7 linked regions of the Rattus norvegicus genome follow. The protein of the gene in region 1 interacts with the protein of each later gene in a pairwise test. Links are inferred from orthologs where the notes say so. Each region holds a gene or a part of one and is shown in the gene's direction. Other genes may lie near its edges.

Region 1 (4,299 bases):
GTCTGAGGCTGCCATTCAAAGCAAACGCTTAAAGACCCTGTCCCTGTTGTCCTACTTATTTAGCATAAACTAATTTTAAGTGGGGCTAAACTATTGATTAGAGCTCTGCTTTCATTGTTGCAAAGCTAGATAGTAACAAGATGAGGTCTGCATCAAAGGATGAAGTTAGCGTCTCTGACTGGAAGAGACTGTTGGGTATGCTAATTTTGTATCTGATTCCTCCCAATGCCCTAGTATCGGCTACATGCCAGCTACTTTACATAGAGGGCAGGTAAACATCTCATGTGTTAAAGCTGAGGAAGTTGTGAAAGACTTATGTAAGGTGACACAGTTCAGGTAGCCTACAGTCAAAGGCTGCTATGACGATGGTGCCAAGCTTCCTCAGATTACTTATGCCTGGGAACTTCCTTTAGGGAGGGAGGCAGCTGCCTGGTCACTTAAGGTGTATTGCTGCTGCCTTCCTTAATAAGGAGGAGCCAAGAGATAGGGTAGAATCTCATTAACATAAACGTGAGTTGTCCAACCGGAAAACTGAATTCATTTGAATATCAGTGTTTCCTTTGGGGAATCATGAGTGAAGGAGCTTGGAGAAGGAACATCTGGATTCTGGTGTGTAAGGTATATGTGTTCCTTCCCCTCGCTCTAGGGTTCTAGCTTTCCAAGTTTGCTTACAGGTTAGCTATTACTCAAGGCTGGGAGAGAGAGACTTCCTTCTAAAGCTTTCTCAGCCTCCTGTACTAAAGAATTCCGGGGCTTTAAGAAGCTGGCCAGGGCGCTGCGGAGGCAGCAGAGGTCGGGTTTCCTCTCCTCCCCCCCCCCACTAGGAAGTGGTCCCGCCTGGGGGGCCGGGGGTGGGGTGGAGTAAAAAAGTGTCTGGATGGGAAAGTAAATAAATGCAAGGCAAATAAATAAAGAAAATGCCCACAAGCAATTACTGGGAGGAAGTGACATTTTCACGTAAGTCACTTTTCTGACAGACACCAGGCCTGTTTGGCTGAGAGTGCCGTGGGAATGCTTGGGGGGAGGCGGGGTAGGGAGATCGCTGTAAGAATCCAAGGCACAGCCGGGGTGCGGAGACCACCGGGTCTCGTGTGCTGGAAGTGGCCCTTCATTCTCCCTTGCAGCCCCTCCCGTGTGCCCCCAACTCCAATTTAGAACGGGTTACGGCTTGAAGCCCGCAGGCGGCGCTTTCCCTAGGCCTGGCCGGGACTCCCAGGTGGGTACCCCGCCCCGCGTGCGCCGGGATGGGCCGGCCCCTGGGCGGCGTCACGGCAGCCGGGGAGGAGCGCGGGCGGGGAGCGCGCGGAGGCGGGCGCTGCGCGGGAGGGTCGCCGCCGCAGATCGCAGGCCGGTGCGCGCGGCCGAGCGGGCGGCGGCGGCGGCGACAGTGGTGGTGGGGTGGGCTCGGCGGCGGGCAGGCTCGGGGCTCCCGGGCCGGCAGGGTCCGCCGGGTCCAATTGCGTCCGCTTGGTGGCGGGAGGAGGGAGCGGTGCAGACAAAGAGCGGCATCTGGGCGGGCGCAGCGCGGCCGCCGCCCCGGGACTAGCGCTGCTGCCCTCCGGCCTCGGCGTGCACTGTGCAGCGAGGTAAGGCGATGGCGGGGGCTGCAAACTTGGGCCGGTCGGTAGAGTTGGAAGAGAGGGGTGGGCGGGCCGGGGCCGCCCTGGGAGGGCCAGGGAGCGCGTACCCCTGCGCACCCGGCTAGTGCCCTCGGCCCCGGCGCGGCCTGCCGTCCCCGGGCACCCGCACCTCGGATACACACCTTCCTGCGAGCCCTCGCCTCCCTCAGCCTCGGGCTGGCGTGGGGGTGGGGCGCCCTCCGCGGGCAGACAACGGGGACCAAGGACCGAAAGCCCTCGGGAACACAAGCAACCCTGGCCTGCCGGCGGGCGTGGGACCGAACCTTGGTCGAGTCGCCGGGCGCGCGTGCCTGGGAAGAATAGCCTAGGATCCGAGGGCTACAGCGCTAGGAAGCGGGAGGCTGCGATGGCCGGGGAGAACTTACTGTACTTCGTGATCCGGCACAAAGCTGCTGTCACGTTCTCTAAAGGAGGTCTTTGCCTCGGCTCAGGGCGCTTTTGTGCCTGGTTCCAGTCCCTGCGCCCGGTCCCGCATTTCCAAGACTTAAACCTCTTGAACCAAAGTTTTTCCCAGTTGTTCTGCCCCCTTAGTTTATTCAGGGCGATTTAAGCAAGTGGTTCTGCAAGAATTTGATGTGTGACTTTTAATGTCCCGATGGCACCTCCCTTTTGAGCACTTTTAGCTTGGCATTGTGTGAAGGGGTTTGATTTGGAAAACACTTATTTATACACAACAACGATTCTCCCGGAAGGTGTGCGCGGGTGGTGGCTAATGGATAGCAGACGTGACTTAACAGTAGTATTGTGAACAGCTTGGGAACACAGCTGGGCGCCAAGTGGAATGGGCCCTGTCACCGTAGCCCATTCAGGTCGGCAGCTTCCTCCGTATTTGACTTTCCTTATTTTGCTAACAGGTTTAAGGCCGGTCTTGCCAACTTTGCATCTGTGTGTGTGGTGAACAGGTCCGAGTTTGGGCTGGAGGTGCACAGGCCGCCTCCTTGGTTGACCCAAAAAGAAACAGCCCATTGACCAGTGGGCGTGGCTTGCTGGTACCCTCCCTTGGAGACTTCTCTGCTCCTCACCCACTGAAGGCTTTTCTGCTGGGATTTTGAAGAGGAATGAGAATAATTTTGGGTGTGTTTCAAGCCTGGGTTTTTTGGTATAGTTAGCAACAGTGGTTTTCCAGTCTAAAGGTCACTACTTTATCAGAACATCTGAACTGCGCTGTGGGCACTCCCTCCATTCACTTTCCAAGTTTATAGATACAGACTTAGAAACAGGACTTTCGTGCTTGTGCCTGGTTTATGTAGTGAAGGCAGCCAATGGACACATGGAGAAGGTGCACTTTAGACAGTTAAGGTTTTAGACCTTCGGGTCTTTCCTAAGTGACCACAAGGGACAATCCCGCCTTAAACTTTCTCACCTCCTGGTAGGTTCCTGTAGTTTTGACTGAAGAAAGTAAAGGTCGAAGTGATCTGAAGCTGAATTGAGAACTTTGTGCAGCTGTAAAGTTTTGAGTTACAGCTTACTGCCTGTCTTGCTCTCAGCTTCTGAAATGTGCTTGAACAGAGTCCCGTTTTTCAGGATTGGAAGTTGCTATGAGAGCTCTGGCCACTTGATAGGTGATTTGCCCACTTGTGGAGAAACTGACCTCATAAAAATGGGTAGAGCTTATAAAAGGTGGTTTCCAGCTCCTGGTCGTCTGTTTTCAGTCCTTTTCCAGGCTTTCAGTTTTGCTTTTCCCAGCAGTCCTTGCTTCCGTCTCCATCCTCCTTTTCTCTTTGACCCTGTCATATTCCTGACCTCTGTCATGTACGTTGGGGTACTGAACATTCCCGACAAACAGCAATGCCCAGGTGTTTGAGAAAATGTGCTTTGATCCTTGTTAAATCTCCCCAGCTCTTTCCAATGTTGGAGCAGACTGGACCCCTTGAAAACAGCCATGAGACTCACTGATTGCGTAGCGACCTGGAGGTCTTTATTTGATCACTTGCATTAGCTTAATTTGCCCTGGCAAGACCAGACTTGGTTGCTCTGTAGGGCACATATGCTTCTAAGTGACTGGCTTGCAGTGTGCACTGGGGCTGACATGACTTGTGGAAATGATTTTCTGATGTTCAGAATGAGCCTTAATGACTGAAGAATTCAAGACTGCTTGTCCCACGTGCGGAACAGTGCAGTGAACAGTGTTGGGAGAAGCTCATAAGCTAACTCTTCTTTACAAAAGAACTGGGAAGCTTCCACTAGAGACTTAGGAAATGAGTTTTCCCATCCAGAGGGACTTCAAATGTTGCTTCAGAATTATTTCTCCTTCCTAAAAATGAGTGATGGAAACACTTCTCAGGGTGTTTTCAAAGGGCATAAGTGAAAAAAAAAAAAGACAACATTTGTGCTGTTATGTGTAAGTTAGGTGGCTCAGAGGAGGTCAAAGCAGTCTTTTAAAACAAGCTATCAGAGGTATGCAGCCCTGGTGAAAATAATTCATTTCTTTAGGCCATCAGAATAGTGCAATTTTTAAAAAAGACTTTTTTTATTTTTCAACAATTCACTTTGGACAAATCACAGAGAACGTGATGGTAGAGTCTTTTTAGGGAACCATACCCACATTCCCACCCCTCCTCCCACTTTCTTCTGAAGTAGACTTCCTGAGATTCTCAGTGCTCCAGGCCATGAAAAATACTCTTTAGGTCGACATAGCAGTGCCACACTAGGGTTACGG
Region 2 (4,277 bases), on another chromosome or scaffold:
GTCTCTCTATCTTGGCAATGGGAGACCCCAGCATACTTGACTTCTGCAGAATAAAACACTCTTTGCCGAATAAAACACTCTTTGCCTTTGCATACTATTTAAGTCTGGGGTATCATTCTTTGGTGAATCATTCTTCAGTGAATTATGGACCCTTACACTAATTGACAGACTGGCCCTGTACTGTCTGTCTGTCTGTCTGTCTGTCTGTCTATCTATCTATCTATCTATCTATCTATCTTCTCCTCCTCTATCTATCTATCTATCTATCTATCTTCTCCTCCTCCTTCTTCATCACCATCTATCTATCTATCTATCTATCTATCTATCTATCTATCTATCTTCTCCTCCTCCTTCTTCATCACCATCTATTTGTCTGTGTAATCCATATAGGTTCTGAACCTCTTTCTTGCTGACTGGGCCTCCCACGTAGATGAACATACAGGCTTGCAACACCAGCCCTGGCTTTTAATATTTGTATTAACTTATGATAATCAAACTGAACTGATAAACACAATCAAAATACTACACAAAGCCCAGGATTAAACTTCCCAATGAACTCTTTAAATGACAAATTGCACTTAAGGAAGCAGTAGAACGGAACCCTCTTTTCTACCATCAAAAATAGAGATAGGGTTTTAACAAGATGAGAGAGAATGAGAGGGAGGGGAAGGAGAGGCAGGGAGGAAGGAATGGGGAGAGAAAGGGAGGGAGGAGGACGGGGTAAGGAAGGAGGAAAAGAGGGAGAGGGAGGGAAAGAAGGAAGGAGATGGCAAAGAGTCATAGACTGAGACAGATAGGTCAGCTAGGGTTTAATAATTCCAATCATTCTGGTATCCAAATGTAAACCCCTACATTTTAGGAAGTCAGACATAACAATTTTGCCAGACAGCTGTTCAGAGAAGGACAAGTACCTGTCTGTTTTTTCTTTAAAGGCCAAACTTACATTAGCAATTTTAATAAGCCATGATTGCCTTCGTACAGAGCTTACATAGGAATAAACAGGAATCACGCAAAGGCTTGGGAAAGGGGAAGAAACAAGGTAAACTGACTTCTACCACTGAGTTAGGCGGTGTGTTACTTTCCGTTAGTAATTTTCTTCCTGTTCCTTCCTCACATCTACATTTAGGCTCGCAGAAAGCCAGAGGGGTAGAAGGGAAAGCCCGGCTGGACAGGAAGAGGAAGCGAACAGGAAGCGGCGCGGGGTCCTTGCGAAGGAGCCCTCCGTGCAAGGGAGCAGAGAACTCAGTTCCGCCGCGGTACCTCTCAGCTCCGAAAATCTGCGCAGTTTCCGCAGGGTGGCTTCCCGGAGAGTCTCCATGGCCGACTTCCGGGAGCCCACTTAGCACGCATGCGCACTCCGAAACCGCGCACGCGCCCGCCTCCGCTGTGCATGCCACGTCACTGCGGCTCTGGAAGCGCCATGAGACCTGGAAAGCTAGGATGGCGTGAGCGTGCGCAAGCGGCGTTTCCTAGGCAACGCTCTGTGGGGCAGATGGGCGGGCACCTAGCGGTGCCGGGCTGCGCGGGAGCAGTGGGTTCCCGCTTTACCACGTCTGACAGCCCGTCTGCGCCAGAGGAGACCAACCCTCCCACGATAGTGGATCTACCACCCAGATGCTGAGGTGACCTGCCCTCACCAAGCTCCTATTCCTGTCAGAAGCCTCCCAGGGAGACCAGGTCCCTGAACCACAGGCTCCGCCTTGTGGGATGTATCTGGTGGGCCAGACCACCCTGTGCCCTTCAGTTGGCCATCTTCCCAGGCTCAGTTCTGAAGTAGCGCCTTTAGGCAGCAATGGCACACTCAGTTGTATTCACTTGCTTCTAGGAGATTGCCAGAGATTGGGAAGAGCCTCTTATTGAATGAACACACTTTTGGCTGGTTGGCTCGTTATGTCTTTCTCTCATAGAGCTCGTAGTTCATATGGGTACTACAGGTTAATCTCTTTTAACCTTACACACAGGACATAGAGAGTAACAACATTTAAGGAAGACATTTCAGTCTGAAACCCGGAAACCTTACCCCTACAATTTGACTTGAGAAGTTTCTCTTCATTAGAATCTAACTCAGAATTCTGAATAGCAGCTCCCTCTGAACTTAAGTTTCTGAGTAAGCTTAGTTGTACATTTAAAGTCTTGACCTCAGCATTTAATTCCGTATTTAAAGTGAACAAGTTTGTGGGGAGGAGAGTAACAACGATAGAAGTCAGAGTTTGTGATTTATATTCTTGAGTGAACTGGAGTCATCCCAGATTTTGGTGACCTGCATTATGTTTAAAGAGGACACACTGAAGTGTGTCAGTGGGTAGGGCAAGAATATAAGCAGAGAGGTTTATTTGGAGCTTACTACAGTAGCACAACCAGGAGAGATTCAGTGGGAATTTAAAAGATAATAATGGGAGGTGGGAAGAAATTGCTTAGATTCTAGAAACACTTTAAAATGAAGACCAGCAACATCTGTCCACTACATGATGAATCGTGTACACTTCTACACGAGTGTGAATCGTGAGAGAAGTTACCAAAAGATGCCTGAAAGTGGATGACAGGGCCTTTAAATGAGCTGAGGGAAGGTATGCATGGAGAAGCATAGTGAAGTCATAAGAGAAACCCTGTAATAATACTGGATATGTAGAACAAAACATGTGCAAATATAGCATAAATTGTGTGTTTGTGTGCATCATGTATGGTGGTTCTGGAGAGCAAGATGGGTCTGGCTAGAAAAATTTGTGAATTGTCAGAATGGAGATATAATTTATTTTCAGTTACAGTGCTAGGTTGGGATCCAAGGGGAACAATAAAGGTAAAAAAGGCCCACATATCTGAGTACCGCACATTCTTGTGGAAGTGGAAAACAACAATGTGACCAAATTTAAATGTATTGTATAGTATTTCACGCCCACCCTTCCATTCCGTGCTGAAGTGTGCCCTGTCTTGAACTTGTGCAGGCCTCGGGTTCTGTTACAGCTGCTGTGAGTTCATGACTGCAGCTGCCCTGCTGTGTCCAGAAAACAGTTTCCACCACCTCTGGCACCTCCCTTCTCCAAAGATCCCTACCCTGAGCCTTGGGAGGAGAGGGTATAATATATCAGTTTCAGAATTTGAGCATTACATAGTTGTACTCTCTACACATTGACCAGTTGTGAGTCTCTGTGTTGTTAGCTACACGTTGCAAAAAGAAACCCTTCTGATGAGGGCTGAGTGGTGCACTAATCTATGGGTCTAGCAATAGATCGTTGGGAGTTAGCTTAGTGCTATGTCTGTCAGCAAATTAATAGTAGGTTCCCTTCTAGAGCTTTATGATCTGTCTGGCCACAGGTTCTTGCTTCTAACAACAGTGCCAGATATGGGCTCTATGTTATGGAGGGTGACTTAAATCCTTAAATTCAAATCAGAAAGTTGTTGATTACCCCTGTGAAATTCTTTTCACTAGTGCGCCATTAGGTGTCCCTTACCAGGTCAGTCTTTATAGCTTATCCAAGACCTATTTCTACCTGAGGGACTCTAGATCATTCATAGCTGCTGGGAGAGGCTGAGTCAGTTTTCTTTAAGGCCGTGGCATCTCTGATAGGTAAACCATGCTTTGGTAGGTGGCCCCACCCATGAGGATATTGACGGCACAAAATAGACCCAATGACCTTTGACAAAAGAAGAGAGGCAAAGCTGTTTGAATGAGTATGTTGCATTGTCTGGAAAGTCGTTTTAAAGTAAATAAGATGGAATCATTAGCATGATGAATAATTGGAGATAAAAGCTTCATATACAGTGATGTGGCCATATGAAGCTACACGTCTTACATAGTGTTTGTGTACTGATGCAGTGAAGCACGTCACTTAGAGAGATGGACTCCTGATGCCGTATATGGATGGATGCTGATTGTATAAACAATAACAAGTCATGTGGCTCCCCTGGAGAATACATTGTAAAACACATAATTGGTGAAATACCAACATCCAAAATAATACAAGACACTCAAACTCAACAGTAAGCAAACAGCCAGCCAAAATACAGTCAGAAGATTGAAGAATACCTCATTGGAGGACACACTCAGACGGCAAAGCAACAAATAGAAAGATGTTCAATATCAGACATTTGTAGGAATTTCAAATTCAAAATCTGAGGTACCCCTATACAGCTATCAGACTGGCCATAATTTAAGATACCAGTACACCAAAAAACTAGTAAGAATGTGAAAGAATAACGCTTCACCTTGTTGCTGATGGAAACACAAACTAGTGTTTTTAAAGACAAGCAGTTCACGGCGAGATAAAGCATATATATGA
Region 3 (3,994 bases), on another chromosome or scaffold:
TAAAGCTACAATCGGACAGGCTTGCGTCCACTTCCTAAAACCAGATTTGCCCCACTAAGGTTCATGATCTTAGTACGTTCAATTAGAGGTGTTCTGAGGTCACGGTACCCAACTAAATCTGCGCTCAGAGGATATGGTGCATCAATTATTTATGACCCCCAGACTAACAAAAACGAGATTAAAAAAAAAAAAAAGCTGCAAGAGAAATGCTTTGGGGACCACAGGGATAGGATTCTCTCACAAATAAGTTCCACAACACAATTCGGGACGCCTCTTCCCCTTAGACTGAAATTCTCAGGAATACAAATCTCAAAAGCATTTCGGATGAACGACATGAAAGGTGTGCACGGCCCACAGAAAGTATTAAAATTGGAATAACCCCATTACGCTTGGAAGATATTTCTAAAGAGAACACACGGACTTGTTCCAAAGGATATACAAAGAACTACGTAATCGGAAAAGTGTCTTTACTGACTGGCCAGCCTTCCTAGAGAAATTCTACTGTCTTCTTCCCTCCACAGACGAGAATATGGTAGAGTAGCTAACTTCAACACCTCAAAATCCTCACGAAATTCTGTGAGGTAGCAACTATGGTTTACTTTGTATGATTTATTTTATATTACTACATATTTACTTTGTGTAGACATTCAAAGTACCAAATACACTTAACATTACTTGCCCTCCTATATACTCCAGTGTTCAGCAATCTGCACTTTTTACTTAATTTATTCCGAAGATTCCTTTTATATAGCTGAACAGTGTTCCATTTAATATGAACGTGGATATTAATAATAAGTAATGGGAGAAGTGACCAGTTGACAGGGTTTTTGTTTTGTTTTTTGTTTGTTTTGACTGGTTGCTGGTTGTTGTCTGGGACAGGGTCTCACTTTGCAGTTCAGGTTAGATAAACCTGGAACTTGTCACAATTCTCCTGCCTCACCCTCTCAAGTGCTGGGTTTATAGGAGTGCTGTAGTTCGCCGGCAATGTTGCAGTTCCTAAAACGGACACGAAAATGCCCAGCACAGAAGGAGGGCGGAGCCCCTCTAACTCCAGGCTCATCATATGCCGTCAGGCTCCGCCCAAGATCCTATTTGGAGGGACCCCCGGAGTCTCAAACGAACAAGTTTTGGGTCTAGAGGGGCCGGAAACATTGGAGGACGCTGAGCGGACCCGCCCCTCAGCTTCCGGCTCTGGTCCTGGGAGTCCCTTCTGCAGTCGTCCGTGCCTGGTCGGTAGGATGGCGCTAGGCCGCTGCGATTGTAGCACGGAGAACAGGGCGCTGCTCAACGTCCTCGCTACCCTCCGCCGTCTGTCCCCGCTGGCAGGGCATGGGGGCTTCTTCCGCTCTGTACGCGTTCTTCGCGGCCAGTCATCACCGAGATGTGGGCCTCCGCCGTCCTAGCCCTCCCGTCCTGTTCCCGCGTGTCAGCTAGAGCGTCTCCTCCTCGTTTCCTGTCGCTCCGGGGCTGGGCGTGGGAGAAGGGGGCGTAACACACCCTCGAAGGGAACTCGTGAGTTCAGGTCGTGTGGAGACGCCGGAAGCGTTGGGAGGGAGGCCGGAAGCTGGGGGGCGGGGCCAGGAAGTGAGGAGGGGCGGGGGTTTATGAGGAGGCCAGGGGAGCGTTGGGGCAGATTTGCACTCAGGTCCACCTGAGGTACTTGTCGGTGGTACTCACCTCTGTCCCCTCCCTTCTGTGAGACAAGGTTGTCGTCTCGGGGTAGGGGACTGTGTGTGGAGGGGCGGGCTGGTCGGAGGACATTCCTTTGCCTCGCCGCAGGCAAGGTGTGGAGAGGCTGGGCTTGGGGTGGGGACGGGTCTTCTGGGCTTCAGAGACGGGAGACCCCCCCGCCCCACCCCCCCGCTCCCCCCACCGCACTTCTACACTGGCTGACTGGACACTAAGATGGCTGCCGTTGCCATGACACCCAACCCTGTGCAGACCCTTCAGGAGGAGGCGGTGTGCGCCATCTGCCTCGATTACTTCACGGACCCCGTGTCCATCGGCTGCGGGCACAACTTCTGCCGAGTGTGTGTAACCCAGTTGTGGGGCGGGGAGGATGAAGAAGACAGAGATGAGTTGGATCGGGAGGAGGAGGAGGAGGTCGGAGAGGAGGAAGAAGTGGAGGCTGTCGGGGCAGGCGGGGGTTGGGACACCCCTATGCGCGATGAAGATTATGAGGGTGACATGGAGGAGGAGGCCGAGGAGGAAGAGGAAGGTGTGTTCTGGAGTAGTGGTATAGGCGGGTCTAACTGGGACAACATGGACTATGTGTGGGAGGAGGAGGAGGAGGAGGAAGAACTGGACTATTACTTGGGGGATGTGGAGGACCTGAGGGTGGAAGATGAGGATGAGGAGGAGGAAGTCCTGGAGGAAGACGAGGAAGAGGAGCTGGACCCGATCACCCAACTGCCACCACCTCCAGCCCCTCGGAGGTGCTTCACTTGTCCCCAGTGTCGAAAAAGTTTTCCTCGGCGGAGCTTCCGCCCCAACCTGCAGTTGGCCAACATGGTCCAGGTGATTCGGCAGATGCATCCAACCCCTGGTCGAGGGAGTCGTGTGAATGAACAAGGCATCTGTCCCAGACACCAAGAAGCCCTGAAGCTGTTCTGTGAGGTGGATGAAGAAGCCATCTGTGTGGTGTGCCGCGAATCCAGGAGCCACAAACAGCATAGTGTGGTGCCATTGGAGGAGGTAGTGCAGGAGTACAAGGTGAGTAAAAGAGAGGAGGCAGATGTAGTTAGGATGGGAAGGAGGTAAAGAGAATTGGGGACGGGATGTGGGTTCTCCTAACAGGACCTTGTCATTGAAAACTGATTCTCCCTGTCTAAGCACTGACTTCAAGGTGGGTAAATGAGAAGGATCCTCTAATTTCCTTTGTGGCTTAAGGATAGGGGGACTAGTGACAGGGAGTGCTTCACTGCCAGTACTGTTTTCTTCTGGATGAATCTGACATGGGTAAGACTTAAGATTGCAAGAAATGGAGACCTAAAGAACAAGTGAAGGGCCTGAAACAGGAGCATAGAAATAGCCAAGTGTCAGATTAAAAAAAAAACAAAAACCACTTGTCTCTCAATGGTTTCCACACCTCTCCTAGGATATGGCTTTGTTGGCTTTTCTCCGCACCCAGTCTCATGTATTAACCAGAAAAGAGAGAGGCTCTTAGGGCAAAACATCTTGCTCAAGTTTGAGAGTGTCTTTGAACTTTCATTACCACAGGCATATTAGTTAATATTCACAGGACACCTTACATATAGTCAGAACTGTGCTGGCCACTTTTTATAGATTATCATTTATAATTCAAAGACACTGTGAGTTTGATGTTTGCTATTCTCATTTTATTGATTGGGAAACAGGTTTAAGTTCTGAACATGGAGTTTATATGCTGTACAGCCTTAGTGATAGACTTTGATGTGAACGTCCTCCCTTTGGGGCCTACATCCTACTTGGATATTTAGTTTGACTTTCTGACTTGACTGTTCTTGGAGTGTAATTTCATTTGGTTAACTGTCTGGTTATTTCTCTGATCCTTTGGACATATGTGAAGGACATTTATCTATGAGACATCCAACACAGAACTACCTTCAGAATCGAAGCCAGGAACTAGGAGTGTGGAGCCTCTGTCAGGCCAGAGCTTTGTTATTTGTGATTCGATCAGTAACTTTATTTAGGTGGTCATCATTAACAGAGCTTTAGAGTCTGAGGCTTCACAGCTGATCGTCCGCTACTCGAGGAGGTTTGCAAACGTACAGTAGGCCGTACTGCAGAAGTTCAGAGTCAGTGAGAGTATCTATAGAAAACAGCCTAAGGGGGATTTAGCTCAGTGGTAGAGCGCTTACCTAGGAAGCGCAAGGCCCTGGGTTCGGTCCCCAGCAATGAAAAAAAGAGCCAAAAAAAAGAAAGAAAGAAAGAAAGAAAACAGCCTAAGATGGGCATGCAAGCCTCTAATCTGAACACTTGGGAAAGCGGAAGCAGGAATATCAGTTCAAGGTCA
Region 4 (3,500 bases), on another chromosome or scaffold:
ATAAGTCTCTGTCAGTGAGGGGAGAGTATACTGGGAAAACAGCAGAGGAAACAGCTGATCCCAAGTCCAGCCCCATAGTCTAAATTGAGGAACACACTCACCCAGAGGGCAGAGTCAGGGCAATCCAGATAAATACCAATGGGTTCAGAATCTGTTTAGAGTTCATGCTGAGCTGATAAATCTCTGAAGAACCAAAGATGCAGAGTGTGTGTGCATGCAAGTGCGTGTGCATGCCTGCGGACGTGCGTGCATGTGTGCATGTGTGTGTGAGTGTATGTGTGTGTGTGAGTGTATGTGTGTGCGTGAGTGCACGTGTAAGGGAAACAGGAGGCAGGGAAGTAGTCATTTGGAGCCCAGAGAGTTTCCTGTCCATAGCCAAGGATGGGGCCTGGGTAATACCTAAAAACCCATCTGCTGGGGCAGTACGAACAGGTAGTCATTGACAGGACCTCATTTGGCCCTTCCTCACACAGTGAAAAGCAGCGAACCATGGACCCTCAACCAGCCCCTGGGTGTCTCCGTGTTACCACTGAAGTCTCATCTATATCGCAAGATGTTGACAGGAAAAGGCTTGAAAGGGCTGCAAGTGGAGCGACTCCCCATCTTTGTAAGTCCCTACTATTAGTTGGTCCCCCACAGGGCCCCATCCCACCCCTACTCCATGGCCACACCTAAAGAACAGAATATAGCTTTTGGGGGGAAAGTTTTGTCTAGACAGGGGTTCTCTGTGCAGCCCTGGCTGTCCTGGAGCTCACTCTGTAGACCAGGCTGGCCTTGAACTCAGCTATCAGTCTGCTTCTGCCCCCCCCCAAGTGCTAGGATCAGAGGCGTGAGGCACCACCATCTAGGTAAATGTGGCTTCTTAACAGCTTCTATCAGAGCACCCCCCAAGGAAGCCTGCACGTGTGAGGAGCACCAAAGGCTGTGCAGCTGGGGTGACAAGCCAGGCTGAGCCCCCAGAAAAGCAAACCTGGGGCCTCGGAGAATAACAGTAAGAGCTCAGGCTTCCCCAGGCAGGGTCCAAGGCTTTCCCTACCCCACCTTCCTGTAGGACCTGGGACAGTTGACAACCTCCCAAGACCTCATTTTTCACCTCTGTCCACACACCCAGGACACAGGAAGCAGAGGTTTATACTCAGGGCCTGGAGACAGAGGGACTGAGCTCCAATTCTGGCTTCACCGTGAGCCTGCTTTCAAGTGATTATACTTCTCCCTGTGGGAAAAATACTTAGTATTGTGCCTCAGTTTTCTTATCTATGAACACATAGTCACATACACACACTCGAGCACACACACACATACACACATACACATGCACACACACATACATACACATACACACACATACACACATACAAATATACACACATGCACACACACACATGCACACACACATACATACACATACATTCACACATATACATACATACATACACACACACACACACACACACACACACACACAGAGAAGAGTGCTCACACAATTGCTATGGAATTTGGTCAGGAACTACATAAAGCACTTAGAATAAATTCTCACTAATGTCAGACCTGGTGGCACAGGCCTGTAAATTCTGAAGTGAAATTTAAAAATGGAAACTTTGAGGCTTGTCTGGGCTACAGATGGAGTTTGAGACTATCCTGGGGATCTTAAAGAAGTAAGTAATAAATAAATAAGTAAAAATAAAATAAAATCAGACCGAGGCTTGGGGTGCAGCTTCAGTGGAAGAGTACTTGCCTAGTGTGTAAGCTTGCAAAAGGCCAAAGGTTCAATCCCCACTAGAAAAATATGGGGGAAATCATATCATTATTTTATCACCTTTTACATTTATTTTCCCTTATCTTTTTGAGGCCGGTTCTTAGGTATCCAAGGCTGGCCTCAGACTTGCTACGTAGCCAGTGGTAACTGAGCTCCCGGCCCTCTTGCCTCCACTTACCAAGTGCTGGGATTACAGGCATATGCCACCAGCATCGTTGTCTATTTCTGAGCCACCGTTTCCCTAAATACTTCTGACATAACAGCAAGCAGAAACTTCTGCTCCGCCAAAAGATGAGTGTGGAGGTGCCAGTCAGGTTTGAATGGAGTGAGAGCTCGGCATGGAAGTAGGGCAGGAACAGGCAGAAGGCCAGCTCTGGTATCCCACCCACACTCCTTGGCACCTTCCCTCGTCCTGGAGAAGCCAAAACAAGAGGTGGAGCAGAGGCCTGCCTGAAGCTGGCCTGGCCATGTGGACTTAATGCGCCTTCTCCTCCCCAGGACACCAACCTAAAAACCATCAACGGAGAAGCCCCCTCAGTGAATCTAGCCTTCCAGCTGCTTTCCTCGGAGGTAAGCGTGGTAGCCTGGGAAGGTCAGACATGTGTCAGCTCCCATAATCCCCTAAGTGGGTGACAATGTCCTTCACAGGTGCTGATCCTCAGGGCCTGGGGCTAAGGAGAAGAAGGAGTCAGTTGGTTCAGTTGGAAAGCTCTGAAGGGATTTGAGACCCCCGGGAAGTCAGGCAGAATGCTAAGATTAGGAAGAGGAAAGAACAAAAGGCCACAAAGACCCAAGTTTCTCTCTACCCAAACCTAACCTAACCCATACTTGCTTAACTAGGGGTCAAAGTTCCAGGGGAGGTCCCTTCCAGGGGAGATTGGTCCCTTCCTGTTGGATCATTGTTTAGCGAGACCCCTTTCCTAGCCTCTGGAGTACATATTGCTTAGCATGGCTGTAATCAAAATCTCAGTAAACAGGCTAAATTCTTTTCTAGAATATGAGGACTAGTGTATTCCCAAGTTTCTCTAGGGGTGCAGGCAGGAGCCAGCCCCTTGCAGGGCAGGACTGGTGGCCCATATTTCTTGCTGGCTGCTAGCCAAGGTGCCCTCAGCTCCTGGAGACCGCCCACAGCTCCTGGAGACCGCCCACGTGCCTTCTTACCACAGTCCCTGTACTGTGATGCCAGCAGGCACAGCTAGTCCCCAGCACACTTTGAAATTGACTTTCTCTTCTGTCAGAAGACAGAGAAGACTCTGTGCTTTTAAAAAGAACTGGATCATCGCGTCTCAAGGTCTGCAACAGAACCATCAAAGTGATGACTTTCTATTTGGCAATGCTAAAGATTGAGGTGTCGGGACTTGAGGACCCATTTTAGGATCCCGCTTGCCATAACTTAATCCAAGTAGGAACATTGTCAGGGTCATCCATGCCTGGTGAGTGGCCACTGCTTCTCCAGCCAGCTCTACTTAGGCCAACTCCAGCTTTGATGTCGGTCATGGCTCTGGTGTACCTGACAGCTTCCTACTCCTTCCTCTCTGGTACTGGGATGTGGACAGTTTGATCCCGAGCCCAGGAAATGTTCAAGAGCTGATTATGGGCTAACCTACTCTTTCTAGCTTCTCAGGTCAAACAGCTGTGGAATAGTTCAGGGCTTTAGGTCCTTCCCCACGAAGACCATGAGAATTCCACATTGTTGACCCTGAGGACAGTATCTGAGAAGAGATGACAATGTGAAAGCCTCACC
Region 5 (4,260 bases), on another chromosome or scaffold:
AGGAGCAACTGGGTCTCTGAGTTTGAGACCAGCCTGGTCTACAGAGTTAGTTCTAGGATAGCCAGGGCTACACAGAGAAACCCCAGTCTTGAAAATAAAAACAGACAAACCTGAGAAAAAAAGAAAAAGAAAAAAGAAAAAGGAACTAGACCTGTGACAATCTCTCTTTGCACCTTCCTTTGCCTCTCCCCAGATAGGCTCTTCAGCTCTCACAATCTCTGGCCTTCAAGATGAGCTGTCTCATCTTCAGGAACTATTAAGAAAATGGACACCAAGAATATCTCCGGAGGACCACAGCAAGAAAAGAGATCCAAATACTATCCTTTCTCAGATCTGCTGAAACTGCTAGCCATCTCAAAGGCAGGGCAGAGGGCGGGGGTTTGTTTCTGCTGATGTTTATGTCTGACCTTGGTGCTTCGGGTTTGGTATTCCAGTCTGTAAAGCTCACTTAGTAGGCCAGTTTCTGTAGATGGTGCTACCAACCTCCAGCTCTCCTGTCTCGTTTGGTTCCTGGAGCTATTTTTGTTTCTTGTGATTTGAAAAATAAGAAACAAAACCAATTCAGAATGATTGCCTTTTTTCGAGGCAATTCTGTGCCATTTGGATGGTTGTCAAAAGTATGATATCAGAGACCCTTTTCATCAGCCCCAGCAAGGTGTCCTAGAGACCTCATTCTCAACCCCTCAACACTACATTGAAATCTTTTCTTAGTCTTCTGTGGGAATGAGGTGAATAAGGGAGACACCTCCTCCTCCCACTGTATATTTTTGTAGCAGCATTTCTATTTAAGGAGTTCATTAAAGCACAGTATTTCTACACATTGCTGGTATTTTCTTGTATTGAATGAAGATCTCAGCAAAGCGGTGGTGGTTGTGGGGTAGTGTGAACTGAGAAAAGGACACTTATTATTGTAAGGAAATAAAGGATTGGCAGGGCTGGGCAGAATGCACATGAAATATTGGGAAAGCCCCCCCGCCCCACACACACATACGCACACACACCTTTTTTGAGACAAGGTCTCTCTGTATATCAGGCTAGCCTGGAATTTTTTTTTTTTTTTTTCCGAGACAGATTTTTCTGTGAGGCCATGGCTGTCCTGGATCTCGTTCTGTAGACCTGGCTAGCCTTTAGCTCAGAGATCCACACCTGCCTCTTAAAGCTTCAATACCTGCCTGTGAGCACCCTCGGTCTCAAATTTCCCAAGATTGGAGGAGCTCTGACACTTACGGGAAACCAAAATACCTCGAGCTCAAGCCTAGGCCGAGGGCGAATCTGCACGAGCGTTGTGGACCGAATTAAAAATAGGCTGTTTTCAAAGGCAGTCCTGGCCCTGGATATGGCGGGACTTTGCCTAGCACACGTCTCTGCGTCACAGAACATACAAAGCTTGGTTTAGCATTTCAATTTGCGCTTGGGGTGCAGTGTGATGCCCTAACAGTCTGGAAGCATTCAGGGCTTTAGTTAACTGTATCAAGACCGGCTGATTCACTTCTGTTCCACCCCGATTGCTGCGGCAGCTCCAGAGCACCTTTCCCTTCTGTCCGACACGAATCTGACTCCTAAGATGGCCGCGATCGCTTCCGGCTCCTCCCTTGTCGCCGGCCCCGCCCAATGTGAGCCTTGGCCCGGAAGTGGAAGTAGAAACTGAGGTCAGGGGGGCGGTGCTGCTGCTTAGAGACGGCGGGAGCCCTTTCGCCATGGCTGCCGGACCGATCTCCGAACGGAATCAGGGTAATTGGGAGAAAAGAGACCAAGATAGGGGCAGGGAAGTGAAGAGCTGATTAATGCCAGAAGCATTTCTGCTTGGGTGGGAGACGAGATCCCTCTGATGTGAGACCGACCTCTGGGCGCCTGGCTCGCCTCGAGGCCAAGTGGAGGCCCAGGCCTATGAAGAGTGATGCTTCTAGATCCATTCTCTTTAAATACTCCTCTACCAAGAAGACAAAATTCTCCGGAAATACAGGATCAGCAAGAATGCCAAATTAGACGTAGCGGATTTTTCTAGACTGTGGAAGCTGAGGGAATTTCGGGTCTTTAGTTAACGTTTTTGGTTTTTATTTTACTTTTCACTCTTGACCCTCTCCTTACCTCCTGCTTCTTCCCTTTAGATGCCACGGTGTACGTGGGAGGTCTAGACGAGAAAGTGAGCGAGCCACTGCTATGGGAGCTCTTTCTCCAGGCAGGGCCAGTGGTCAACACCCACATGCCAAAGGATAGAGTCACTGGCCAGCACCAAGGTGAGTACATGTCGAGAATTAACCCTGTATAGCGTTAACGGCCCCTGAAGAGTCACAACTCCAGTCACAACTACTTTGGAATGAGCAACCTAAAGGTTCTTTTCCCCCTTAAGCTTCAGTTCAGTTTTTGGAATAGTTTCTCTTAGCACTAGTTACTGGAACCATTCTCAAGTGAAGTAAGATTATTCTTCTGTCATGTTCTTTTTATTGTTTTATTTTCAAGACAGTGGTTCTCTGTGTAGTCCTTGGCTGTCCTGGAACATGCTCTGTAGACCAGGCTGGCCTCAAACTCAGGGCTCCACCTCTGCTCCAGCATGGTGGCATTAGAAGCATGAGCCCCCACCCAGCCCTTACCTGCTTTGTTCTTTGTGTTTGCAAACTGGTGAGTTAATGTTTGATTTTGAATCTCTTCACCTGAGTGGTCTTTTTTCATTGGTTTCCTAGGCTATGGCTTTGTTGAATTCTTGAGTGAGGAAGATGCTGACTATGCCATTAAGATTATGAACATGATCAAACTCTATGGGAAGCCAATACGGGTGAACAAAGCCTCGGCTCACAACAAAAACCTGGATGTAGGAGCCAACATTTTCATTGGAAATCTGGACCCAGAAATTGATGAGAAGTTGCTTTACGATACTTTTAGCGCCTTTGGAGTCATCTTACAGACCCCCAAGATTATGCGGGACCCTGACACAGGCAACTCCAAGGGTTACGCCTTCATTAATTTTGCTTCATTTGATGCTTCAGATGCAGCAATTGAGGCCATGAATGGGCAGTACCTGTGTAACCGCCCTATCACTGTGTCTTATGCCTTCAAGAAGGACTCTAAGGGTGAACGACATGGCTCAGCAGCTGAACGACTTCTGGCAGCCCAGAACCCGCTGTCTCAGGCTGACCGCCCTCATCAGCTGTTTGCCGATGCACCCCCTCCACCCTCTGCCCCCAATCCTGTGGTTTCATCCCTGGGTTCTGGGCTTCCTCCACCAGGTACAGCTTGTAGTTCAGACTATGCCAGTGAGGCCCATGGGAGGGAGGTCAGGGGGCAGAGGAAGCCCTGGAAGAGTAAGCTGTGAAGTCAGTGGGCAGTGAGGGAGGAGTGAGGATGCTGGTGGGAGGGAAGAAGTTGGTGCATGTCCTTAGGAAGCTGGAGTGTAGCATGCTGGGAAAGACATTCTGTCCGATACCACTAATTGTCCTTCATTTCTTAAACAGGAATGCCACCTCCTGGTTCGTTCCCACCTCCAGTGCCACCTCCTGGGGCCCTTCCTCCTGGGATACCCCCAGCAATGCCCCCACCACCTATGCCACCTGGGGCTGGAGGACATGGTCCCCCAGCAGCAGGAACTCCAGGGGCTGGACATCCTGGTCATGGACATTCACATCCTCATCCATTCCCACCAGGTGGGATGCCCCATCCAGGTAAGTGCGCTGAGCTTGTAGAGGGGCCTTTGTACTGCTTCTCCCAGTGCTCTTTGTCTTGGGTGGAAATAGTCCAGAGTCCTTTTCTTCAGAAAACAAACAATACTTTGTACATGTTGGTGTGCTCCTGTGTTATCTCCACCTATAGCTTGTGCTTGGCAAAAGCTCTCAACCTCTCCTCTGCTTCCAAGGTTGCCAAATCTAGAAGACATTTCTGCTTTTGGTTTTTCGAGACAGGGTTTCTCTGTGTAAACCTTGCTGTTCTGGAACTCCCCCTGTAGACCAGGTTACCCTTAAACTCAGGGATCCTCCTGCCTCTGCCTCCCAAGTGCTGGGATTAAAGGCATATGTATTTTTAGATTTTCTAATGTCAACTTTAGCAACCTGGATCAATTCCTTTTTTATGTATGTGTAGATTTCGTGCTTGGTTCTCTTTTCTGTGTTTATCTGTAGTGTTAAATGTGAAGGTTATGATTTATTCTGGGTCTCTGTTCTGAGGTTCTTGGTAGACTAGAAAAGGCTGCTGCTCAACCCACAGTTTACTTTTCTCTTTCCAACACCATCTTCAATGGCTCTCACTTGTAGGAGCCCAGTCCACAACTCT
Region 6 (3,500 bases), on another chromosome or scaffold:
GCTGTGGAAGAAATCCATTTAGATGGCCTATCTCTTAGCCTAAGAACTTATAAATAGAATATGGATTTCCTTGTCTGTAGGTCACAAAGTTACCTTAAGGAAAGTAGCCTGCTGAATCAGTGAGATGTCACTGTCTCCCTTGAGTGTCCTGTTTGTGTTTCTGTATGGCATTGGTTTGCAGGCCTACTTATTTAACACAGTCTTCTCTCTAAAGTAGAGAAAAATCTACTTACCTATCAATGTATCTATCACTCACTTATCTATGTGTTATTTATCTTTTTGGTACTTAATATAGTTTGGGCAGAAAGATCAGAGAGAGAGGGCAGTAAATATTGAATACTATATTGATAAATGTGCTTTTCTTAACATTCATCTCTGAAATAAATATTGCTAAGTCCTAATTTATAGAAGCAGACGAGGTTTGGATAAGTAATTTGATCTAGTCATAATCACTTAGTAAGCAAATGTCAGGGTTTAAGAGCAGATAATTAAATCCAAGTCCAGATTACATTCCATGATAGTGCACATACCACATATAGTTTTGTGTGTATAGACATGCACTGGGAACCAGTTAAGGAGAATGTTTTAGAGGGAACAGACAGGTCATCTTTCCTCAAGGGACTATAGGTGGAGAAGCAAAAATGTTTAAGTATCTGGAATATAATTGTTCTACATGAATAGGAATAAAAATTGAGACATTATTTTGCTAGGGAAGTCAGAAAGCCAGTCCTGTTGAAACATCTGATAGGTCCATTTGTTAATTGATTCTGTTTAAATACCCAAATGCCTGCTTTTTATTAGGCTGGAGTTAGTTAGAGGATTCAGGGAAGAGTAATGTGTGCTGTCTCAGTAGACCCTGTAAATAATCAAAAAATAATTATGAATTTTTAATGATAAAAATCTGACAAATACACATCTTCTAGAAAAGGGAGTGTAACCTGGGAATACTTTCTTCTTTACCTTGGTAGTATAGAGTTTCTCCTTTCTTAATAACATCTCTCCTTTGCTTTTGTAACAATTACTTTCACACTTCCTTTTTCAGCGTGAGTAAAGCAGTGTTTTGTACAGAGCTAGACGTACCATAAATTCTCAGCAAATATTTGTTAAACAAACAAATGGATAGGAAATAGAATGTCTCTAAAAGCTGAGGTTTGAATGCTAATATCTGCTGCTCGTGGCCATGTCATTCTCACATGTTGATTTATTATTAAATAAGGTGGGTGTCACTGTTTTATATAGACAAGGAAACTGAAGCACAGAGAAATGAAGTAAACTGGTAGAAGTCATTCAGATAGTAATGAAGCTGAGAATTAAACCTGGGCCATCAGGTTTCCAAGTTTGTTTTAAATTATTGTACCCTTCTGCCTCTTGATGAATAAGAGTAGTTAGTTCATGGTAAGAGCTCAACAGTTCAAGAGGGAATAACTCCATAGAAAGCAATGTCAAGTGTTGCAAAGTGTCAGGTACACACAAGATTCATCTCAGAAAAAACAGAGTCGATACTCTGGGTGAGGAAGGTTTCCATCTAATGATAAAATCTCCAAATTTTTACTGAGCATCGTCTAGCCATTTTGGAGTGATTTCAGTGCTAAGGCTATCACTAACCCTTCTTGTAAAGTGAGAGCAAAGGAAGGTTGTTTTACCCAGGACAAATGGGCTGTGGCTCAGAAGAGGACTAATGCAGATTTTGACATATAAGAGAAAGGGTAACTGGGGAAGGGGGAAGGTTCCTGGGATGTTCTAACTAGAACATTCAGAAGAGGTTCCACTATGCTAACAAAGGCTGCTTTGCCAAAATTTCCACTGATTATGCAGGTATATACACGGTCTGTGATTGAACCACTTCCTGTTACTCCAACTCGGGATGTGGCTACATCTCCTATTTCTCCTACTGAGAATAACACCACTCCGCCAGATGCTTTGACCCGGAATACTGAAAAGCAGAAGAAGAAGCCTAAAATGTCTGATGAGGAGATCTTAGAGAAATTACGTAAGCACTTTATAGCTTTCTTGAATCTTCACTCCGTCTGTGACTGATTAATCATTGAAATGGAATGCTGCAATAAAGATCTGGCTCCTAGGTTTTAGCCATGTGCCTGGCTGGCTCTGTAACTCCTGACCTATAGGCTGTAAGGCTTGCTCATCATCTGAACTTTCACCCTGTCTGTGTTCACCAGCTCTGGGTGTGTATATTGTAGGATAGAGACAATAGAGAATGTGGGCAGCTCACGTTGAGTGTTACGGACATAACCAATAGCTGTTATTTTGTGAGTAGTCTAGAGTATTGTATGGAGAAAGATCGAGGTATCGACTCTTCCTGGTGGAAAGGGTGCTCTTGTTGATGCTTGCTATTGACCTAGGAGAGGACAATTCTGCCATCATAGTTATAGAAAAAGAAGGAAGGGGGGAAACCAATGTTTTATGAGCCTGTTCTGTGTGGAAATGACAAGCAAGATAGTTTCTTGACTTTTTAAATTGTATTGAAGTTACTCTGAGAAGATACTCAGGATAATCTTCATTTATGCAGTTAAGGTTTTTAAGACCCAAAGATTCTATACCCTGCTCCAGATCATAGAGCTGCAAAGGTCAGATCAAGATGTGTTATAAATAGAACATATCACCTATTATAGTACGTGTAGGTTGATTTTTATTTTCTATTTTATTTATTTATTTTTTTGTGGCCTGGGAAATCATTGAAAAAGGATTTGATGTACTGGTTTGATCAAGTTTGTATGCTCACGTTGCTTTCTAAAGCAGAGCTTTGTGGTCTAGTTTGGCAGCTTCCTGTTCTTTTTAATAATTCTTGTTTAACCCTTTTGTTTGTTCAGTTTATTGTCTTAAGAATTGCCCTTGCTAGGGCCCTCACAATGAGGTAAAAGCCACTCCTCGGCATCTGTGTAATCATGTGTACTCCTGATCCCTAAATAATAATATAAGGCATTATACAAAGCAGTCTGGCCTGGACAACTTCCTGCTGTCCTTCGAGTCTCCTTTCCTCTTCACATCTTTTAAATAGTGATACTTACACTTGATTTGTTTTAAATCAAAAGATATAATACCATATGTGAGAAGCACCAAATCCTAGTGGTTGGGGTATCAGTGGAAAAGCTACTGGGCTGAGAGATTAAGAACCAGCCTTGGCACCAGTTAATGTATGAGTTTGGAGAAGTATCTTCCCTCTGTGGGTTTCAGTTCCCTGCCCTAGAATCCCACTGTGAGACCCGTGGGCTCTCTCATACTTCTGCGTTTTTTATTTAAAGTGCCCCCTGCTACAGAGTTCTCTTGGCTTTCTTAACCTGGCTAACTTATACTTAAAATCAAAATCAGTCCAGGCAGCGCCTTTCTGAAGCTGTTCAGTCTCTGTCTGTGCCTTTTGCCATTCCCTATCCCTTCAGCACTGACCACAGCAATCCTGTATTTTTGCAGCACCTTCCATTTGCTCCTCTTTTCCTTAGATTGAGCTTTTGAGAGTAGTGACTGTCTTAAATGTGCCTCATCTT
Region 7 (4,073 bases), on another chromosome or scaffold:
ACTATGGAGAGAGCAGGAGTACCTAGAGGGGGTCACAGGCGTGACCTGGAAGTAACAGCTAGCAGGCATGGGTCCCGTCAGAGGGCTGTGGCTAGGAGAACACGGACATGCTGTTTCAGGGACATTAGGTGACCTCTCAGATGCCTTTCTACATTCTTGTGTTTTCCTAGATTATCCATTTCCTAAGGACCAGGGCCCATCCAGTGATGCTCAAACAGGTATGGATGGGTACAAAGGCTGGAGGCTGGCAGTCTGGGCACCTAGCAAGGGGAGGATGGATGAGGAACCAGAGACTGCTTTGGGCATTTGCCCTGGTCCTATAGCCTCACCCTTGTCCTGCAGACTCCTGTGCTGCCCCCCACCATAACAGACCAGATTCGGCTGTGGGAGCTGGAAAGGGACAGACTTCGGTTCACTGAAGGTGAGTGGCTCCTGCTGAGCTAATCTCGGTCTATTGGCTAAAGAGGTAAGGCCAGCAATTTCGCCATGGTAAATGAAAAAGGTTTTGTGCATTTCATATTTGTTTCCCCTCTGGGAAGGAGAGGAAACTGATCCTTTATTTTGATATATTGGTAGCAGGAAATATGTCCCCAACAGTGCAGTTTGGATTAAGTTAGGTGGGGGTAAGGGGAGGGGTAATTCAGCCATCTCTCTAGGTGGGTGTGCATGTTTTTTCTTGTGGATTCTGTTGGCTTTTCGAGTGTCTGGATGCCACGGGTGTTAAAAGTTGAATAGTCGACTGTCCGTAGAGAATTAGAACTGTGGCCTGCAGCTCCTGCCTGGATGCTGCTCGGAGGGGCCGAGACCACTGCAGCGCTCCTCACCTCCTGCCTGTCCCATCCGACCCCAGGCGTTCTGTACAACCAGTTCCTATCGCAAGTGGACTTTGAATTGCTGCTGGCCCACGCGCGGGAGCTGGGCGTGCTCGTGTTCGAGAACTCGGCCAAGCGGCTGATGGTGGTGACACCGGCGGGGCACAGCGACGTCAAGCGCTTCTGGAAGCGGCAGAAGCACAGCTCCTGAGCCGGCTGGGTCCGGCCCGGGGCGGGCGAGCGGGCGGGCAGCTTTCCAACTCAGGTGTATTTTGTTTACACATCGGGACATTTCTTGTTTAATAAAATTGTGGAAAAAAGCTATGCGGCTCCTGACGCCTGCCGACGTTTTCCATTCCAGCTCGGTGAAATCCACTTCTACACAGGAGCGAGAGTCTTCTGCGCATGCGTAGCCCCGCCCACGTACGCGCGCACGCCTCGGCGGTGCTCCTATCGCTCGGGAGTTCGCTGCGGCGTTCGCGGTAGATTCGCGTGGCCCAGGTTGAGACCTGGGTGTCCCTAGTTTCCGAACCCCAACCTTCGTGTCCTGGTGAGGGGCAGAGCTCCCGCCTCTTCCGGACGCCCTGGTTTCAATGACTCCAGAGTGCGGTCCCGCCGTGCGCTCCGCCCCTAGGCGGAAGGACGTAGAGTGAGAGGGTCCTGCGGGCCGGAGTGAAGGGTCGTGACCTCCTGCACCCCATGATCTAGTGAGCAGACCTCCACCCCTTCCTAAACACTCCCGATGCCTCATTTACCTCTGGCCTCTTTCCGGCCACCTCTCTGGGGGCTGAGGCCCTCATGGGGTCTCGCCAGGCCCCGGGCACTTTGTACACAACCGGAGCCCCACGGCTCCCCAGTCTCTCGGAGGAACCGTGAAGCCAAACAGAAGCGCCTGCGGGAGAAGCAGGCGGCCCTGGAGGCTGGGCTGGCTGAGAAGAGCAAGGTCAGGGGTCAGTCCTTGGGTCTCCCAAGACTTGGGAAGGGGCTGAAGGAGACTGGTGCTGGGATCCAGATGACTGGTGTATTGGGAATTGCACCTCCTCCACACACACACACACCATTGTTTCCTCCCCGCAGACACCTGCAGTGCCCACTAAGGCCTGGAGTCACAAGGAAGTAGTATTGTATGAAATCCCCACCCGGCCAGGTGAAAAGAAAGGTAAAGTGTAGGGAATGTTTTTGCGACGTTGTTGCTCTTTGGTCTGCTAACACGCGGTTGAGAAGTGGATCTCTCTTCTGCTTCCACAGATGTTTCCGGGCCCCTGCCTCCTGCTTACAGCCCCCAATATGTTGAAGCAGCCTGGTACCAGTGGTGGGTGCGAGAGGGCTTCTTCAAACCAGAGTATCAGGTCAGTGCGCGGCAGAGGGCTTCTCCGAGGTCCCTAAGACAGAGTGGGTGGCCCTTGAACTTGGTGAGCACAGGCTAACTTCACAGCTGACCTTTATTTCTTTTGGCCCCTGGCTTTCTTTTCATTTTCCCCGTATTGAATTTCCCTTTTATTATTGTTGTTTTTGTTGATTTCCCTCTCATTATTATTGTTGTTGTTATTATTATTGACAAGGTTTCTTTCTTGGTGTAGTCCTGGCCGTCCTGGAGCTCTGTAGACTAGGCTGGCCTCAAATTCAGAGATCAACCTTCCTCTGCCTTCCCCAAGAGTGCTACTCCCCCATGCCTTCTTAAAGTTATTTTTGCCCCCAAGACACCAGAGGGTGCTGTTCCCCCAGGCAACATCCAGTTCTCCCTGGCTTCTGACTTCCTAATTCCTTCCAGGCAAGGCTGCCCCAAGCTACAGGGGAGACCTTTTCCATGTGTATCCCACCTCCCAATGTCACGGGCTCCCTGCACATTGGCCATGCGCTCACAGTGGCGATACAGGATGCTTTTGTGCGCTGGTGAGAGGAGACGGGGCTGCTGCCGTTCCCAAAGGGAAGGTTGGAGGGACCTGGGATGAGGATAAGTGAGCTCAGGGGTCCCCGTGGTGTTTCTATGGCAGGCACCGGATGCGTGGGGATCGTGTGCTGTGGATCCCCGGGTCAGATCATGCAGGAATTGCTACACAGGTGGGTCTTGTAGCCCCTCTCCTCTGCTTGGTTGAAAGAGCTGTCTTTATGTGAAGCAGCTGACTAGCTTTCATTTTCTCCCGATCCCACTTCAGGCTGTGGTGGAGAAACAGCTGTGGAGGGAGCGGAGAGTGCGGAGACACGAGCTGAGCCGGGAGGACTTCCTCAGGGCTGTGTGGCAGTGGAAACAGGAGTAAGTTGTCAGGGCCAGTGTGACTGGCTGAGTCTTTGCTTGTCAGCGCTACTGACCGACAGCATTCCATTCTTCCTGCCTCAGAGCAGGGGCTCTGACGGATGGGGTGTCCGAGCCAAGAGTGTGTGTGTTAGAATGTACACATTTGTATACTATGCTCACGTTAAAATATATACATTTATGTGTGTGCTATGCTCACGTTAGAATGCACACACAAACACACTCGTGTGTATATGAATGGATATGTACAAATGTGTGGGTTCTTTTTACCCTCCTTGTCTTGTTTTCTTGGACTTTGTTACCTCTCCTGTGCCCCTGGACCCTCCTACGTTTGTGGTCACGTACTTTTTTCTCTTGTGGCTGCTCCTGCATCCCACACGCCGTGGCATGGGCCTCATACATCCCAGCATAGCTGTGAATTGTAAACTTAGAACACTTTGAGGACTTTTTGGGTTTTCTTTTCTTTACTGCATAATTCTCAAATGTGAACTTTTTCTACATGGCAGTGACATGTTTCTGTTATGCAGTATGTATGTACGTGCACACAACCCATGGGCTACAGCTTAGACACTACTGGCTGTAGCCCAAGATAGTCATCCATTGTGTGTGTTTCAGAACCCTGCAGAGACCTTTCTGTATCTTTTATTTTAAAGATTTATTTATTATTTATAAATACATTGTAGCTGTCTTCAGACACCAGAAGAGGGCATCAGATACCATTACAGGTGGTTGTGAGCCACCATGGGGTGCTGGGATTTGAACTCAGGACCTCTGGAAGAGCAGTCAGTGCTCTAACCACTGAGCCATCTGTAGCCCTTTCTGTATCTTTTAGTCCTGGGTGTGTGGTTCTACCTCCGTGCACACTTCATCTCCTCTGGCGTTGGCGAGCAGCCATGGTTAGAGCCAGGAGCTGCTCTGGTCATATTTACTGATAGGACTCTCTGGTGCAGGAAAGGAGGGGAGATCTACGAGCAGCTGTGCGCCCTGGGCGCCTCTCTGGACTGGGA

What was found.
Region 2: the proteins of Nck2 (region 1) and Lrriq3 interact in binary tests that used the Homo sapiens proteins (3 or more experiments, as listed by UniProt). The two-hybrid records come from large-scale screens. The link is inferred for Rattus norvegicus from reciprocal best matches to the Homo sapiens genes NCK2 and LRRIQ3.
Region 3: the proteins of Nck2 (region 1) and Trim41 interact in binary tests that used the Homo sapiens proteins (3 or more experiments, as listed by UniProt). The two-hybrid records come from large-scale screens. The link is inferred for Rattus norvegicus from reciprocal best matches to the Homo sapiens genes NCK2 and TRIM41.
Region 4: the proteins of Nck2 (region 1) and Ccdc33 interact in a two-hybrid assay, tested with the Homo sapiens proteins (2 studies listed by BioGRID). The two-hybrid records come from large-scale screens. The link is inferred for Rattus norvegicus from reciprocal best matches to the Homo sapiens genes NCK2 and CCDC33.
Region 5: the proteins of Nck2 (region 1) and Sf3b4 interact in binary tests that used the Homo sapiens proteins (3 or more experiments, as listed by UniProt). The two-hybrid records come from large-scale screens. The link is inferred for Rattus norvegicus from reciprocal best matches to the Homo sapiens genes NCK2 and SF3B4.
Region 6: the proteins of Nck2 (region 1) and Pak1 interact in binary tests that used the Homo sapiens proteins (3 or more experiments, as listed by UniProt). The link is inferred for Rattus norvegicus from reciprocal best matches to the Homo sapiens genes NCK2 and PAK1.
Region 7: the proteins of Nck2 (region 1) and Vars2 interact in binary tests that used the Homo sapiens proteins (3 or more experiments, as listed by UniProt). The two-hybrid records come from large-scale screens. The link is inferred for Rattus norvegicus from reciprocal best matches to the Homo sapiens genes NCK2 and VARS2.

What each region holds. Positions count from the first base shown.
Region 1 is NC_086027.1:53,205,480-53,209,778, forward strand, and holds the start of Nck2 (cytoplasmic protein NCK2), read left to right. Parts: upstream 1-1,499; 5' UTR 1,500-1,586; intron 1,587-4,299. UniProt on the Homo sapiens protein: Adapter protein which associates with tyrosine-phosphorylated growth factor receptors or their cellular substrates. Maintains low levels of EIF2S1 phosphorylation by promoting its dephosphorylation by PP1.
Region 2 is NC_086020.1:246,777,506-246,781,782, forward strand, and holds the start of Lrriq3 (leucine-rich repeat and IQ domain-containing protein 3), read left to right. Parts: upstream 1-1,477; 5' UTR 1,478-1,622; intron 1,623-4,277. Other genes in the region: Fpgt (fucose-1-phosphate guanylyltransferase), read right to left, coding at 1,261-1,318.
Region 3 is NC_086028.1:33,684,633-33,688,626, reverse strand, and holds the start of Trim41 (E3 ubiquitin-protein ligase TRIM41), read left to right. Parts: upstream 1-1,194; 5' UTR 1,195-1,905; coding exon 1,906-2,712; intron 2,713-3,994.
Region 4 is NC_086026.1:67,371,986-67,375,485, reverse strand, and holds part of Ccdc33 (coiled-coil domain-containing protein 33), read left to right. Parts: intron 1-473; coding exon 474-607; intron 608-2,254; coding exon 2,255-2,326; intron 2,327-3,500.
Region 5 is NC_086020.1:186,420,207-186,424,466, forward strand, and holds the start of Sf3b4 (splicing factor 3B subunit 4), read left to right. Parts: upstream 1-1,460; 5' UTR 1,461-1,697; coding exon 1,698-1,731; intron 1,732-2,108; coding exon 2,109-2,237; intron 2,238-2,681; coding exon 2,682-3,224; intron 3,225-3,449; coding exon 3,450-3,656; intron 3,657-4,260. Other genes in the region: Mtmr11 (myotubularin-related protein 11), read left to right, coding at 194-340. UniProt on the Homo sapiens protein: Component of the 17S U2 SnRNP complex of the spliceosome, a large ribonucleoprotein complex that removes introns from transcribed pre-mRNAs.
Region 6 is NC_086019.1:161,612,950-161,616,449, forward strand, and holds part of Pak1 (serine/threonine-protein kinase PAK 1), read left to right. Parts: intron 1-1,815; coding exon 1,816-1,990; intron 1,991-3,500. UniProt on the Homo sapiens protein: Protein kinase involved in intracellular signaling pathways downstream of integrins and receptor-type kinases that plays an important role in cytoskeleton dynamics, in cell adhesion, migration, proliferation, apoptosis, mitosis, and in vesicle-mediated transport processes.
Region 7 is NC_086038.1:3,080,635-3,084,707, forward strand, and holds the start of Vars2 (valine--tRNA ligase, mitochondrial precursor), read left to right. Parts: upstream 1-1,273; 5' UTR 1,274-1,554; coding exon 1,555-1,755; exon of another isoform or gene 1,756-1,762; intron 1,763-1,889; coding exon 1,890-1,971; intron 1,972-2,060; coding exon 2,061-2,161; intron 2,162-2,583; coding exon 2,584-2,705; intron 2,706-2,806; coding exon 2,807-2,873; intron 2,874-2,968; coding exon 2,969-3,066; intron 3,067-4,016; coding exon 4,017-4,073. Other genes in the region: Gtf2h4 (general transcription factor IIH subunit 4), read left to right, coding at 171-218, 343-421, 851-1,023. UniProt on the Homo sapiens protein: Catalyzes the attachment of valine to tRNA(Val) in a two-step reaction: valine is first activated by ATP to form Val-AMP and then transferred to the acceptor end of tRNA(Val).